Canis lupus familiaris: one gene and its partners. The protein of the gene in region 1 interacts with the protein of each later gene in a biochemical or structural test. Links are inferred from orthologs where the notes say so. Each region holds a gene or a part of one and is shown on either strand. Other genes may lie near its edges.

Region 1 (4,792 bases):
CCATATTGAGATCCGCAGAGTAGAACATTCCTCCAGGAAGCTCCCAGCTGTCTTAACGTCAATGTTTTGCTGTTGGGAAAAATAATCTTAGCCTGACAATAGCAAGGTCCTCCAGGAATCCAAGAGTCTTCTTTAGCGTGATCCTGGAGTCCGGGGATCAAGTCCCACATCAGGCTCCCTGCATGGAGCCTGCTTCTCCCTCAGCCTGTGTCTCTGCCTGTCTCTCTCTCTCATATGAATAAATAAATCTTAAAAAAAAAAAAAAAAGAGTCTTATTTAGCATATGAAAGTCCCTTTTGAACTTCCCTTTTCTTTACTTCACCCAACCCTGGCTAGCTCCCCACAATCCTGGGGCAGCAGCTCTTTGTCCTCACAGGTCATGTCTCCATGCTTTAGTATCACTTTTTTTGCACCAAAGATATCTCAAGAATTCTTGTCTGCTGTCTCCGGACTGAACTACTCAAAAAAACCCAAAAACAAAACAAAAACAAAAAAACTACATCACCAGGGCTTCTGGGAGTCCACCAGGCCTATAGCTTTCTTATTATTACCAAAAGCCACTGGATGAAATACTAGACTTTCCTGAGCCTCTGGAAGAAAAACTGGGATCATGCCAACGTTGCAAAGTTGTCAGAAGGATTCGAAACACGGGGATTCATGGAGATAGTGAGTCTTGAGCCACCCCACCGTCGTCCGTAAGCACTCCCCAAATAAACTCCAAGTAAAATACTGTCCCTTTAGGACAGGCCTATTGGGACCCCTCTTCCAAACGGATTTCTGCCCCTAAGGTCCTTCTCTAGAAATCCTGAAGCAGGTCCTGAAAGTCAGACCCATTTATTATTACATAACTGGAGGCTTTAATAGGCACGTTCTTAGACTATCGTCGCTAAAGGAGCCTCTAAAGGCTCCCCTGGGAGGCCTGCTATCATGATACCCCCAACTCAGTGGTTTCTGAATGGATGAAATGAGGGACAGTCACCCCCTCCTGCAAGCAGGGATCCCGCAGGCTTCGAACCGCTGCTTTCAGGCGGCGGCGGCCCCTGGGACTCTGTCCAGGTTGGATGGAGACCCTTCGGGCCACCTTCATCTCCCCTCGCTCCCCACTGGCCCGAGGCTCCGAGTCCCTCTTCCCCGGGCCAAGCCCACCCCCAGCGGGATCTCCGGGAGCAGAGGCGAGCGCAGGGTCCGTGGGGGCGTGGGTGCCTGGGGTGCGGGCGGAGGGGGTGCGGGGTGCGGGCGGAGGGCAGAGGGAGGGCGGAAGGGAGTGCAGGGGCAGGGCGGAGGGGTGCGGGGGGGGGGGCGGAGGGGGCGGAAGGCGGAGGGGTGCGAGGCGGCGGGGGTGCAGGGCCGGGGCCGGGACGGAGGGATGGGGGTGCGGGGCCGGGACGGAGGGCGGCGGGGGTCCGGGTGCGGGGCGGAGGGGTGCAGGGCGGAGGGGGTGCGGGGCGGAGGCGGCGGGGTGCGGGGGCGGGTGGAGGGGTGCGGAGCCGGGCCGGGCCGGGGCGGGGCGGAGGGCGGAGGGCGGAGGGGGAGCGGGGCGGGCCGGGGCCGGCGGCGGTCACGTGGCGAGTGGGCGGGCGCGCGGGGCGGGGCGGGGCGCGGCGGGGCGGGGCGGGCGGTACTTAGGCGCGGGGCGGCTCCGGGAAGCCAGGGCGGCTGCTCGGCTCGGCGCTGGCGGGCCCGGCTCGCAGGCTGCAGGCCCAGGCTCTCGGCGGCGGGCTCGGTGAGTGCGGGCGGGCGGCCGGGCGCGGCGCCCCCGCGGTGGAGGTGACCTTGGCGGGGAGGCGGGGAGGCGGGGAGGTGGGGAGGCCGGGAGCCCGGGCCCCTGTGCGGCCCCGCGGCATCCCGGGGCGGGCGAGGAGGCGGGGTGGGGGCGGGGGTGGCAGCCCGCGCGCTCCGGAAAGTCATCGCGGTGAGAAAAGCAAGAAGCCCCCAACTCCGGGTGGGCGGCCTGGCCCCGGCCCCGACCCCGGCCCCGACCCCGGCCCCGACCCCGACCCCAGCCCCGACCCCGGCCTCCGCCTCCGCCTCCTCCCGGGGCTGTGTCCGCGGCCAGCCCGGCTCCGGCTCCGGCTCCGGCTCCGGCTCCGGCGTGGGGGCCTGCGTAGTCCTGCCAGGAAGCGCTGGGCTGGGATCCCGGTGACTTTCGGCCAGAATCTAGCTCCCCGGCCCCTGGTGAGCTTCTGGGCCTCAGTTTCCTCAGGAAATTGCCGAGATAATAGTGTCTCCCTACGTCTGTTCTAGGTGTTTTCTTATTTCATAGGGTTTGGGCAATTCTCAGCCCACAACCGAACACACAGTTCCAGGGACCCCAGAGGACAGAGACCAGAAAACGAACCTGGAACTAGGTGGTGTAGGGTGGAGGCCACATGATGAGTTAGATCCACTGATGGGAAGAGAAACTGAGCAGTGCTTAGGAGTCTAGGCATTGGAAGCCCCAGTTCCCCTCCCCGGGAGGCTGGGGTGGAAGGGGAAGATGCCACTCCTTACTTCTTGACTGAGCCTTACATAGGCCCGGGTTGTTTGGGAGAGGGGAAAGCAGGGCAGAGACCCTGAGGCCTCAGCTCTTCCTTTAGTTAATGACCCCGGAGGTCTGCGAAAGGGAGCAGCATATGGGGAGCATTTAGGGGTAACAGTCTGGCGGGCTCAGCAGGCCATCCAATTAGATGTGAAATGGATTTGCCCCTTTGTGGGCCTAGGTCATTCTCTTCCTCAGGCACCTGGACCCCCGCCGCCGGCATCCCTCCGCCAGTCCTTCACACCCGGTGGGAGGGGGAGCTGGAGGGGTTCAAATGGACAGCTAGCATCTTTAGTTACCTTAGAAAAAACTGATCCTCAGTGCATCCACCGGACAGAAATGCAGCTGGGATGCATTTATCTAGTTGACTCTATAGTTTGAGAATGATAGGAAAGTGAAGAGGCTTAGGAGGCTGTCTGGTTTGGTAGGGGCTGCTTTTCTTCCATAACATCCTTAAATAATGGAGAATTGTTTTGTTTTGTTGTAAAGTAGGCTCTGTGCCCAACGTGGGGTTTGAACTCAGGATCCTGAGATCAAGAGTCACATGCTTTACTGACTGAGCCAGCCAGGCGCCCTGAGACTTATTTCCTGTTGGCACTGGTGATAGTGACCTAGAGCCCTTGAGCTTTATATAGGAAGGGGCTGAGCTGCATCCCCCCACACACCCTGTGTGGTTTTCCCAAAGAGAGGGTTTTGACGGTGCCCTGGAGAAAGTTTCCCCTCACATCTTTTTGGGCAGCTCTGTCCCAGAGCTGGGTTATTGCCACTCAGCAGTGGAAGGATGTAGATTCCTTATCTGGGGGCTTTGCAAGCCAGCCCAGCCCTGGCTCCACTAACTCCCCTGCTGGTTTCCCGACTGGTCAGGTGGTGAGGGTGGGAGCCCTTTAGCCTCAGGATAAACCTGCCCAGGTGCTGCTGATTCAGCAGCTTGAACTGAGGCCTTTCTCAGAGACTGGTCCTTTCTTTTCCTCCATTAGAGGACCTGGGAGTTGGGGTAGTAAGTTGGCACACATTTTAGGGGTAAGAGATGTTTTGTATCTCTGTTGGGCTGGGAAGCAAGAGAGAGCACATTCAGGGGAGTCAGAAAGTGTCCATTGGGTAATTTTCTTAAATGTGGTAAGGCCTCGTGATTGTGTGGGATATCCCCTTCTTCCGGAGGGAAGGACTGGACTATTTCGGAGCAAAGGCTCAACGTCTGCAGCCTTTTTTAGATAGTTTGACACAAGGAAAATGTTAAGATGATATTTGGGAATTTTTCTAGATCAAGAAGGGTGGCGATCAGGTACTTTATGGTTCAGCTTCACATGCAGAGAGGGGTGGGGGTTGACAAGTAGATGAATGTAGTGGGGGCATGTGCAGCTGTGTACTGTACTCAGTGGACGCTGGGCGGCAGTCAGCAGTGTTTGTACCCCATCCCATATCCTCACCTCTTCGTTTCAGCTCCGAGCACACTCCAGAAGCTGCCTAAGAAAGGGGGTGTGTGCAATAAATCCTGAGTCCTTTTTTTTTTTTTTAAGATTTTATTTATTTATTCATGAGAGAGACAGGCAGAGGGAGAAGCAGGCTCCCTACAGGGAGCCCATTGCGGCACTTGAGTCCAGGACCCCAGGATCACAACCCGAGACGAAGGCAGACACTCAACCACTGAGCCACTGCAGGTGCCCCACCCTCAGTCTTTCTTTTTTGTGCTTTTAATACTTTTGTATCAATCCATGAACAATGCTATTAAAATTTATTAACTGTAATTGTGCTGGTTGTATCCTTTTCCATTGCCTGTTCATGAGCTTTATTATTTATGTTGATACACGAAGGTCTTGTTCATTCATTCATACCAAACGTAGAGTATTTACAGAGAGACAGGTGGTTTTTACTTTCTCGTTGTTTGTGGCAGCGCTGCAGTAAATCCTTATATCTCTCAGGCACCCCTGAGTGTTTCTCCAGGGCAAAAGCAGAAGTCCAGTTAGTTGCTGGGTCATAAGACATGTGCATCTTCTGTTTTGCTAGATACTTACAGAATGCTGTCCAGTGAAGTTTTACCAATATGTACTACCAGCGGTGTTTGAGGGTACCTATTCCTCCTTTACCACCATTAGATATTATCAGATTTCAATTTTTAGCAACCTGATACGTTTGAAACGGTGTTGCTGCTTGAAGTTTTAGGACCGGGAATTCAAGTCATTCTTTGCTCTCAGAAGTCATTGATTAGTGAGGATTTGTATTTTTGTCGTTGATCGCAGTGTTTATAGTTTTTGTTTTGTTTTGTTTTTGTTTAAA
Region 2 (4,844 bases), on another chromosome or scaffold:
TCTAATGTCCTTCCTGGTTACAGACCTACAATTTAAAAAATGTTCCTAACTGGAGATTGTTTTATTATTATGTTCCAGTTATCTTGACTTCTCTAAATGGACTGTAAATCCCTTGAGGGCAGGGGCCAAGTCTTAAAGTCCTTATGCATCTTCTACAACATTTAGCACAATGCTGGACACCTTAGAGATATTCAAGAAATGATTTGCTGATATTCATTTCTCAAATTGATTTAAATCTGAGGCTTACTGCTTGCACAGATAAGGCAACTTTCCATACCATGTATTTCCCTCAACTCTCATGCTTCTCTATGTTCCTGCCACTGTACAGGGGAAAAGGCAGAAGGTCAAAAATCTGAAGATAGTCTAGCTTCTTAACTAGGCAGATATTAATCTCTCTGAATCTCAGTTTGAAATCTTATGTGAGAAATGGACATGATGATTTCCTTCCCTGCTCCAGGGGTTATGAAGATCAAAGGAGAGGTCGCATGGAAGATAGGGCTTTTGAAACTTCAAAGCAACTTTCCGGGGTGATGTAGCTATTGCTTTTTTTTTTTTTTTTTAAGATTTTATTTATTTATTCATGAGAGAGAGAGAGAGGCAGAAACACAGGCAGAGGGAGAAGCAGGCTCCATGCAGGGAGCCTGACATGGGACTCGATCCTGGGTCTCCAGGATCACACCCCAGGCCGAAGGCGGTGCTCAACCGCAGGGCCACCGGGTCTGCCCTACAGCTATTGTTAATACCAAGCTCTCATTCTACCTCCTTGGCAGGGCTGGGGCCTGAGGTAAGCAGGAAGAAACACATTTTCAAATTAGTTTCATAATTTAAGATGTGGCTCACAGATGGATGTTTTTTTAACAATGCAAGGCCTTCTTATAGCTTCTTATTAAAAGAAAAATTATTCTTCTAAAGAAGATAGGCTTTTTAAAAGTCATTAAAATTTTCTGCACACTCTCTATAAACGAAATCTCAGTTATTTCCCCATTTCCCTTACAGCTCTGGTCCCTAGAGAGTCTCAGGGGGAGTTTCCAGGGTCATAGGTGAAGCAAAGATTTGAAGCAAATACCTGTGATGCCTCACCTATGCATATTTCTTTCTTGTTTTCAAGTCATTGTTATGCACATCACCTTATGTAGTTCTTACAGCACGGAGATCAGCAGAGCAAGAAGGTGATCTTCATCTCATAAGTAGAATTGAGAATTTTTTTGCAGTGCTCAGCATTTATTTATTTATTTATTTATTTATTTATTTATTTATTTATTTATAAAAGATTTATCTATTTATTTTAGAGAGAGAGAGCAAGGGGAAGGGCTTTAAAAGGAGAGGGAGAGACTCTTAAGCAGACTGTGTGCTGAGCTCAGAGCCTGACGTGACCTGAGCTGAAACCAAGAGTCAGAGGCTCAACCAACTGCACCACCAAGCACCCTCTGTGCTCTGCTTTTAGAAAGCCCATCTCCCATAGGCCTCTAGAATATCATGTATCTCCAGTCCTGTAGGCCACGAGGTCATGGACAGCAGCATAAACATCTCTTGGGAGCTGGTTAGAAATGCAGGCTCTCAGCCCACCGTACCATATCTGCATTTGAACAAGGCCCTCAGGTAATTTATGTGTACATTGACTTTTGAGAAAACTGAACTGATACAGGAACTCAAATAAAGGTATTAATGACTCAATATTACCCATTAAAGAAAGAAAAGCTACAAAGTATATGTTTTTTAAAAGAACTCTTGAAAGGGAAAGATTTATCCCCAAAGAATGTAGAATTCCAGGCATCCAATCTCTGGGGAGCACTCCAGAGCCCTAACATAGAGATCCTATCTCTTTCACTTACACAAGAAGTTGATCTTGTTGGCCAGAGTCATAGAATGAAGTTTCACAGAGAAAAAACAAGGAACGATACAAGAAAATAGGGGAACAATTTAAAAACCTAAAATAGTAACTTATATATATTTTCTTTTCATAAAATATGCAGTATAATAAAATTTTATCATATAGATGATAGCCAGTGAAACAACACTTAGAAAAATATATCAACTTACTAAAAACATTGAGTTCTGTTTTCACCATAATCAATTTTGGAATCACCATAGACTATGCCACGCCTCTTTCCTACTAGTTTAATCATCTTCTAAATATGAAGAGACTGAAATATTTTCTATTAGGCAAATTGGCAGGAAGTGTGTAAGTGGATTGTCTTCGCAATATTGTTCTTCCTTTAACCCATTTAAAAAAATCTCCCTGCAGAGCGTGTGAAGTCTAGTTCGTCAAATTGTTAACAACTTCAGACTTTAATTACATGTTGGCTCCATTTGGTAAGATTAGAAGCTTCAACAGACTGAATTAGTAATCCTAGAATCATACATTGTAAGCCTATAAAGATGAGCCAATATAAATTCTTTTATTAATGGGGAAACTGAGGCTCAGAGAAGGGATGTTACTTGCTCAAGATCACTCTCATAGGATTATTAGAGGTTTCATCTGAAAAAGTTTTTAGTTGTAGGGAAGGCTGAACAAAACCCCACATTTCTCAGTGTTCTGGTTTTCAAGTTCACCCACACGCTTAAGACGGCCCACCTAGGAACCAAGATATTAGATCAATCCTTTTCATGAGAGACATCAACTCACCTCATTAGCAATCTCCTGGACTTCTGGAGTGGCAGGTTTGGCTTCAGTTAAGCCTCCAGGCATCATTTTGGCTAATTGCTTCTTTGCTAGGCAGGATGCTGGAACTGAAGTGATCCAGTAAGCGTGGAGACTCTGGTTTTTAAAGAGGGTGTTGTTGCTCAAACAAGCTCCGCCTCCAGAAAGTTTTCTTTTTCACAAAGAGCAAAAAGGCACAAGGAAAATGAATATGTCTTGAAGCAAGCCATGGTGCTTCCTCAACAGAATATGCCATTAGGGGTTTGGGAGAATGAGGGTTGGATACAAATGGGTGTATCCAGGGAGCAACGTCGTCGCGGGGAGTCAGACTTCTCTGCATTCTCTTAGACAATAGTTTCATCCTGTTGCATCTGAGGAATGAAATCTGGAGCCACAACCAGTTTCCCAATGCTTTAAAACCTCCAATACAAAATTTTATACTTTAAAGGTATATTTATTTATTTATTTATTTATTTATTTTTTTAAAGGTATATTTATTAATAACATCAAGGCCAATTGTTTAGAGTTTACTTGACTTTATAAAGAAAGTAAAAGGGTCTTTCTGGAGAACTTTGGTTGGATATTTGTATTTTCCTTTTTCTTTTTCCTTCCTTCCTTCCTTCCTTCTTTCTTCTTTTACATTTCTAGAACTGCAGAAAAATGCAAAGAATAAAACAAGAAGCACCTATATTTCTATCACCCAGATGTAAAACTTTTAACGCTTTATCTTACCTTACTTCCCTTTTTTCTTTTTCTTTTCGTAGTTGTTTTTTAAGAAATATAATATTACTAGCCTCTCATTCCCACTTCCCCCTAACTTTGCCCTCCACAGAGGTAAAATTCACTGTGGGTTTGGAATCCTTTTAGCCCACTTTATATATTTACTTAATGTGTTTTTAAAAATTTACTTAAGTTGTATGCTAAACACATACTGTCTATATACTTTTTTCTGCTCAACATATTTTTGAGTTGAAACACAGATAGATCAATCTAATTGATTTCCTTTAAAGTTATCCTATGATAGATTTATCTATCATCTATTCTAACCGCTATATGCTATTCCACATTTTATATACTCATTCCCCTACTGATAAAGATTTGAATTATTTCTAGTTTTTTTACCCTTATCAATAATATTGCATTTTTTTCCTTTTGTACATGTGTGATGGCTTCTGCAGGGAAATTATCTAAAAGCAAAGTTGCTGTTTTATGTGGATATTTATCTGCCTTATTTTATTCAATTTTTGGAGTATATGACACACAATAAAAATGTTCAAAAGGAACAAAAGAGTTTATTTATTTATTTTTAAGAGTATATAATATAAGGAATTCTTCACCCACTCAATTCCATAGCCACCCTTTTATTCTCTAGAGACTACTGTCATGAACTTCTGTATCTTTTAGAGATATTCTTTACATGTACAAATATATAAATACTTAACTACACACATACATATGTGTGTATATACTTTTCTTCTATAAATGGTACAAATGGTATCCTACCACATAACCTATTATATACTTTGCTTTATCCCCAACAATATATTTTGGAGACTGTTTTATATTATTATATTCTACATTAATACTTTCATATTATAATTAATTAATATGTAATATATTTTATAAATTATATATTAGAAAGGTACTTTATTCTTGATAAAGTTTGGCAGGTGCTTGACAAATATTTGGAGGTAGGTAGGTGTTTTACTGGATAATCTAAGGAGTGCTATGCAGATGGATGTCCATGGAATGCCCTCATGCATGTACTGAGAAAAACAGCAACTGTGAATGACATAGTGCTCACTTAAGAGGCCACAATCATCTTAGCACTTAGCTCTGGCACAGATAATCCTTGACATCTTCCTGTGACCTTTCTAAGTCAGGTCCTCTCATATCCAGGCCTTCAACTTTTTTTCAAGGCCACAGTCCATTTCTGCCTCTCTGTTTACCAACTAGTTCAGGTGATACTTATCTCCCCGGTGGTTAGGCATGGGGTAAGCAGCATATCTTCTGTTCTCTTTTTAGAGTCTGTGACTGTTACTCTTGGATATTCCCTGTTGATTCTCAAAAATTTATTTTGGAAGCAAAAACTGACCTAAAGCAAATACTACTTTTGTCTTTGAATTTCTACTGTAATATTCTAGCTTTTCTCAAGGTAGTATGGAAGAGTCACATACAAGGATGTGCAGAAAAGAAAAGCAGA
Region 3 (4,687 bases), on another chromosome or scaffold:
GACCCGTCCCGAGGAGGCCTGTGTTACAAAAATTCAACTGTGTGCATTTGAAGGGCTAGCTGGCTTGATTCAACGATCCACTGAGAGCAGCATCCCATCTAGCAAGCACACAGGTGCTCCGGGAGCTGCAGAGAGTGTGAGGATAGTGTAGGCAGAAACAGGGGAGGACAATCAGCAGAAGAGAAGATTATTTTGGAAAAGGTCACCTTCCCTGGCGGGGGGGTGGGAGGGGTGGGGGGTGGGGGGACAGGGGCCTGATCCTGCAGATTCCCTCCTCTTCCATTGGGGGAAGGAGGAGAACCCATGGGACAGATGATCTCCTTGGTGCCACCAGAAGATTCCTACTGGCCAGTTAAGACTACATTTCTGGGGCAGGTTGTGGCTAGGTTAGGCATGAGGTCCCGGCCTGGTGACGTGACCTAAAGGCTCCATTTTGGGCCTGTGGTTTTCTTTTTAACCCAATGCAAGAGGGAACAAAACCTGCTGGGCAGGGTGGAGAGAGGAGGGGGAGGGGAGGAGGGCCAAGCCCACTGAGCCATGTGACAAGGAAAAGCCAGAGAACCGCCTGCCTTTCCCCACGTTGACAATTAATTTCTGATGCTTTGCTTTCTATTTTTATGGAATCAAATCTGACTCAGTGGCACATTCATGCGGCTGTGAACAGGTTGTCCATCTCCTCCTCAGCGCCCCGCCCCGGGCTCAACCACTTGTCCTCCCACCTTGTCCTCCGTCCTTTCCTAAAGTTACAAACCGGGCTTTGCCCCAGCAGGTACCAGAAAGGCTTGTCTCCCCACACACCTGTTCGGGGGAGGCTCCTGGCAGCGGCTCCAGGTCAGCCCAGCACCCGGCAGAGCGGGTGGGCTCCTGCAGAGTCAGCACCCAGGGAGAGGACGCCCGCGGCCACCGAGGGGTGGGCCATGGGGGGGCAGGGGCCCGGCCCTTTCTCAAAAACCAGTCCTGTCCTGACAGCTCCTAGCACGGCCCCTACCCCCGCCCCGAATAAAGTGTGGGACCCTCCCCCATCCCTGGGTGGTTGAATCTAATTCTCACCCAGGTCTTGCCCTAAATGCCCTCCATCTGACCACAAGCCCTGCAGCCCCCAGCCCAGCCCGGCCGAAGCCCCGGGAGCCAGCTCCTCCCTTGCCGGGACAGCTTGGAGCCTCCTGTGTCCAGCGCCCCCCCCCCCCCCGCCCTCCCTGTGCCTCTGGGTCACATGCGGGTGACTGTCCAGATCCGCTGGCACAAGCGGGGGGCGGGGCCGGTTGAATGCAGAGCGCCCTGAGGCCGCACCCTGGACTCGGCCCCCCTGCAGCTCCTGCCCCCCCCCCCCGCTCCCCCAGCTCCCGGCCGCGCGGGCTTCTCTCCCCTGGGCCCGGGGCAAGCTCTCACCTCCCGGGCAGCTCCCCGCTCCCCCGGGCGCCCCCACCCCGCCCCAACGCTGCACGGGGGGCGCCTCCAGACCGTCCCCTGCAGAGCCCACCCCGAGGGGGACCGCCCCCACCGCGCCCGACCGGCCACCGGAGGACACCGAGGCCGCGGTTCGGGGACGTCCCTACAGGGCAGGACCACGAGCGCCCACACGGTGCGCGCGGCGAGGGCCCCGGGGGCGGCCGCCTGGGGCGCACGGGGGCGGGGGTGGGGCAGCAGGGGACCCGACTCCGCCCTCGTGGCCCCGCCCCCACGTGGCCCCGCCCCCTCCTGGCCCCGCCCCGACTCCGCCCCTCGTGGCCCCGCCCCCTCCTGGCCCCGCCCCGCCCGCCCCACGTGACCGCCGCCCGCTTTAAGGGGAGCGGGTTCCGGGGCTCGGGGTTCCGCTGAGCTCCGCCGCTCGGTCCTCCGCCCGCGCCTCCGTCCGCGCTCCCGCCGCCGCCGCCGCCGCCAGCATGATGTGCGGGGCGCCCAGCGCTTCGCAGCCCGCCACGGCCGACACCCAGGCCATCGCCGACCAGGTAGGCGGCAGCGCGCGGGGCCGCTCCCGCTGGGCCTCGGGGCCTCCCGCACGCCGCAGGTGCAGAGCCGGGCGCGGAGCCGGGCGAAGGCGGGACCCCGGCCCCACACCCTCCCCCGCCCCCGCCCCGGCCCCGGCCCCGGCCCCGGCCCCGGCCCGACACCCTCCCCCACCCCACCCCCGCCCCCGCCCCGCTCCTCCCCCTCCCCCTCCCCCTCCCCGCCGCCCGGGCCGGTGACTCACCCCCACGGGACCCGTGAAAATGAGGGATTTGCGGTGACTGCCGCGAGCCCCGCCTCCCCGCGGCCCCGGGCCCAGGCCCTGCCCTTCCTCCCCCGCCGCTCTCAGGCCAGCCGCTCCCGCCCGTGTTGACGCGGTGCTGCCACTGGGAGAAACTGAGGCAGCCAGGCGCCCTCCGAGCGGGCCGGCCTGCGCGAACGGCCACCCCGACCCGGCTCAGGGGACATTCTGCACCCGCCCAGGAGCGCCCCCAGGAGCGCCCCGCACCCCGGTCCTGTCCTGGTCCTGCCCTGTGCCCTCCCCCGCCTCCGCCCAGGCCCGTCCCTGCAGGCTGCTGACTGCTGACTGGCAGCCCCCCAGCCCCCCAGCCCAGCCGGGACTCCGAGCCCCCTCCCGGGTCAGTACCGGTGCCCGGAGCTGCCCTTCTGCATCGTCGAGGCTGCCACGTTGCCCCTTCCCTCACCTCCGCTGGGGTTTTCTTACCATCCCTGCCGCCACCCCCTGAAGCAGGCGAAGGGACAGGTGATTCCTTCCCAAACCCCTGGGCCCCAGCTTTGTAAGCTGCCTGCAGAGCCCGTTCACTGCAGAGCTAGCATGGTGCTTTGCCCAAACAAGGGGGCTCCAGGTGAGAATTCAGACACAGGTAGGCCCAGGTGGGGAGGCGGTTACACAGAGAGAGCACAGGAGCAGCAGGACGGTGACCAGCCTGCCCCGTGCTGCCCAGAGGCCAGCCTCCTGTCCCTTTGTCCCAGCAGGGGCACCTCCCTGAGGGCCACACACACAGCCTTTGTTTGCACTGGATGGTGACCCACCTGTGTCATGATGGTGACCCCCCCACACACACACACCCCCGACCCCGTCTCCCAGGGGCTAGCCTGTGCCCTGCAGCCCGATGACCCAAAACCCCACAACCCTCTGGAACTAGTCCTGTCCCTCCAACACAAAGTCTGTGCACTCCAGGGCCTACTGTCAACCCAGCAGGCAGCTAGAGCACTTGTAAAGTAGCTTAGATTTTAAATTTATAAGCGGGGGGGGGGGGGGGGGGGGGGAGCGCCTGGGTGGCTCAGCAGTCGAGCATCTGCCTTTGGCCCATGGTGTGATCCCAGGGTCCTGGGATCAAGTTCTGCATCAGGCGCCCCACAGGGAGCCTGCTTCTCTCTCTGCCCGTGTCTCTGCTTCTCTCTCTTCTCTCATAAATAAATAAAATCTTTAAAAAATTATTTTTTAAAAAAAGGCAAACCTGTTTTCCTTTTGCCATAAAGATGCTCAGTTCCTAAAAGGTCACAGCTTTGGAAAACAACATTGACCCAAAAGTATGACTGCTCTTTGACACAAATGATCAGGATCAGCTTGTGCCCAAAGGCTCTGCTTCTTAAAGAAATCGTCTAAAGATCAGTAAAGTGATTTTTACCTGCAGAGCCCAGAATCCGCTGCATCCTGTGTTGTGGGAGACGTTGAGGAACAGCTGTAGTGGCCCCAGTAGGGGAATGGTGCAGAGAACCGGGGCACATCTACAAGAAGGGAGAGTACCTTTCAACTAAAGATTGTATTTTGTTGAAAATTTTGAAAATTTTGAAACATTTTACTCAATTTTTAAGAGTAAAAAAAAAAAAATCACACACAGCCTTTCAAGCGACCCGTCCGAGGGTTAAGTAAAAGGGAAGACGGGTGGAAACCTGCATATAGTGCTGTCGTGGTGAGAATGTTAAATGACCCCGTGACGTTCGTGGAGCTGGAAGGGCGGAGGTAAGCTGAGGCACCACCATGGAAACGGGCAGATCGAGGGAGTCGTGTTCTGCGCTTCGTGGACCGCGTCCCTCCGCGATCAAGAACAGTCAGTGGTGGTGGAGAAAACCTAAGGGGCCGCACGGGAACTGTTCACAGTGTTTAACGTGAGCAGGTAAGCTGTGAGCTCCCCTCGCGGGAGGGAGGCCGCTAACGTTCTCTCCCGGCCCCCAGGTGAAGGCCCAGCTGGAAGAGCGGGAAAATAAGAAGTACACTACTTTTAAGGCCGTGACATTCAGGAGCCAGGTGGTCGCGGGGACAAACTACTTCATCAAGGTGAGCGGCAGAGCTGCAGTGGGGAAGGGGGGCGGCCGGGGGCGGGGGGGGGATGACCTGGAGGGCTCCCCCTCCCCGACTCCAGGGCCTACACCATGCAGGCTGGCCCAGCAGGGGCACGTGGGGTCAGAGGTCCTGCCAGCCCCTCACTCCCCTCCCCCGACCGCACCCCATTCCAGGTCCAAGTTGACGATGACGAATTTGTGCACCTTCGAGTATTTCAGAGTCTCCCGCATGAGAACAAGCCCTTGGCCTTGTCCAGCTATCAGACCAACAAAGCCAAGCACGACGAGCTGGCGTACTTCTAGTTCCGCTCTGAGCGGGCCCGTCCACGTGGTTCCGTGTGGTTCCGTCCTCTCTGGGCGTGTCTGGGATCAAAAGCCAATGCTGAAAAAAAAAAAAAAAAAAAAAAAAAAGCCAATGCTGTTGCTTTGCAGG

What was found. The genes of interacting proteins can lie anywhere in the genome.
Region 2: the proteins of CTSB (region 1) and CSTA form a complex in vitro, tested with the Homo sapiens proteins (3 studies listed by BioGRID and IntAct, with this or other methods). The link is inferred for Canis lupus familiaris from reciprocal best matches to the Homo sapiens genes CTSB and CSTA.
Region 3: the proteins of CTSB (region 1) and CSTB form a complex in vitro, tested with the Homo sapiens proteins (2 studies listed by BioGRID). The link is inferred for Canis lupus familiaris from reciprocal best matches to the Homo sapiens genes CTSB and CSTB.

Annotation. Positions count from the first base shown.
Region 1 is NC_049246.1:26,190,508-26,195,299, forward strand, and holds the start of CTSB (cathepsin B), read left to right. Parts: upstream 1-1,614; 5' UTR 1,615-1,723; intron 1,724-4,792. UniProt on the Homo sapiens protein: Thiol protease which is believed to participate in intracellular degradation and turnover of proteins. Cleaves matrix extracellular phosphoglycoprotein MEPE. Involved in the solubilization of cross-linked TG/thyroglobulin in the thyroid follicle lumen.
Region 2 is NC_049254.1:26,109,589-26,114,432, reverse strand, and holds the start of CSTA (cystatin-A), read right to left. Parts: upstream 2,898-4,844; 5' UTR 2,693-2,897; coding exon 2,627-2,692; intron 1-2,626. UniProt on the Homo sapiens protein: This is an intracellular thiol proteinase inhibitor. Has an important role in desmosome-mediated cell-cell adhesion in the lower levels of the epidermis.
Region 3 is NC_049252.1:37,607,605-37,612,291, reverse strand, and holds the start of CSTB (cystatin-B), read left to right. Parts: upstream 1-1,790; 5' UTR 1,791-1,883; coding exon 1,884-1,949; intron 1,950-4,147; coding exon 4,148-4,249; intron 4,250-4,428; coding exon 4,429-4,557; 3' UTR 4,558-4,687. UniProt on the Homo sapiens protein: This is an intracellular thiol proteinase inhibitor. Tightly binding reversible inhibitor of cathepsins L, H and B.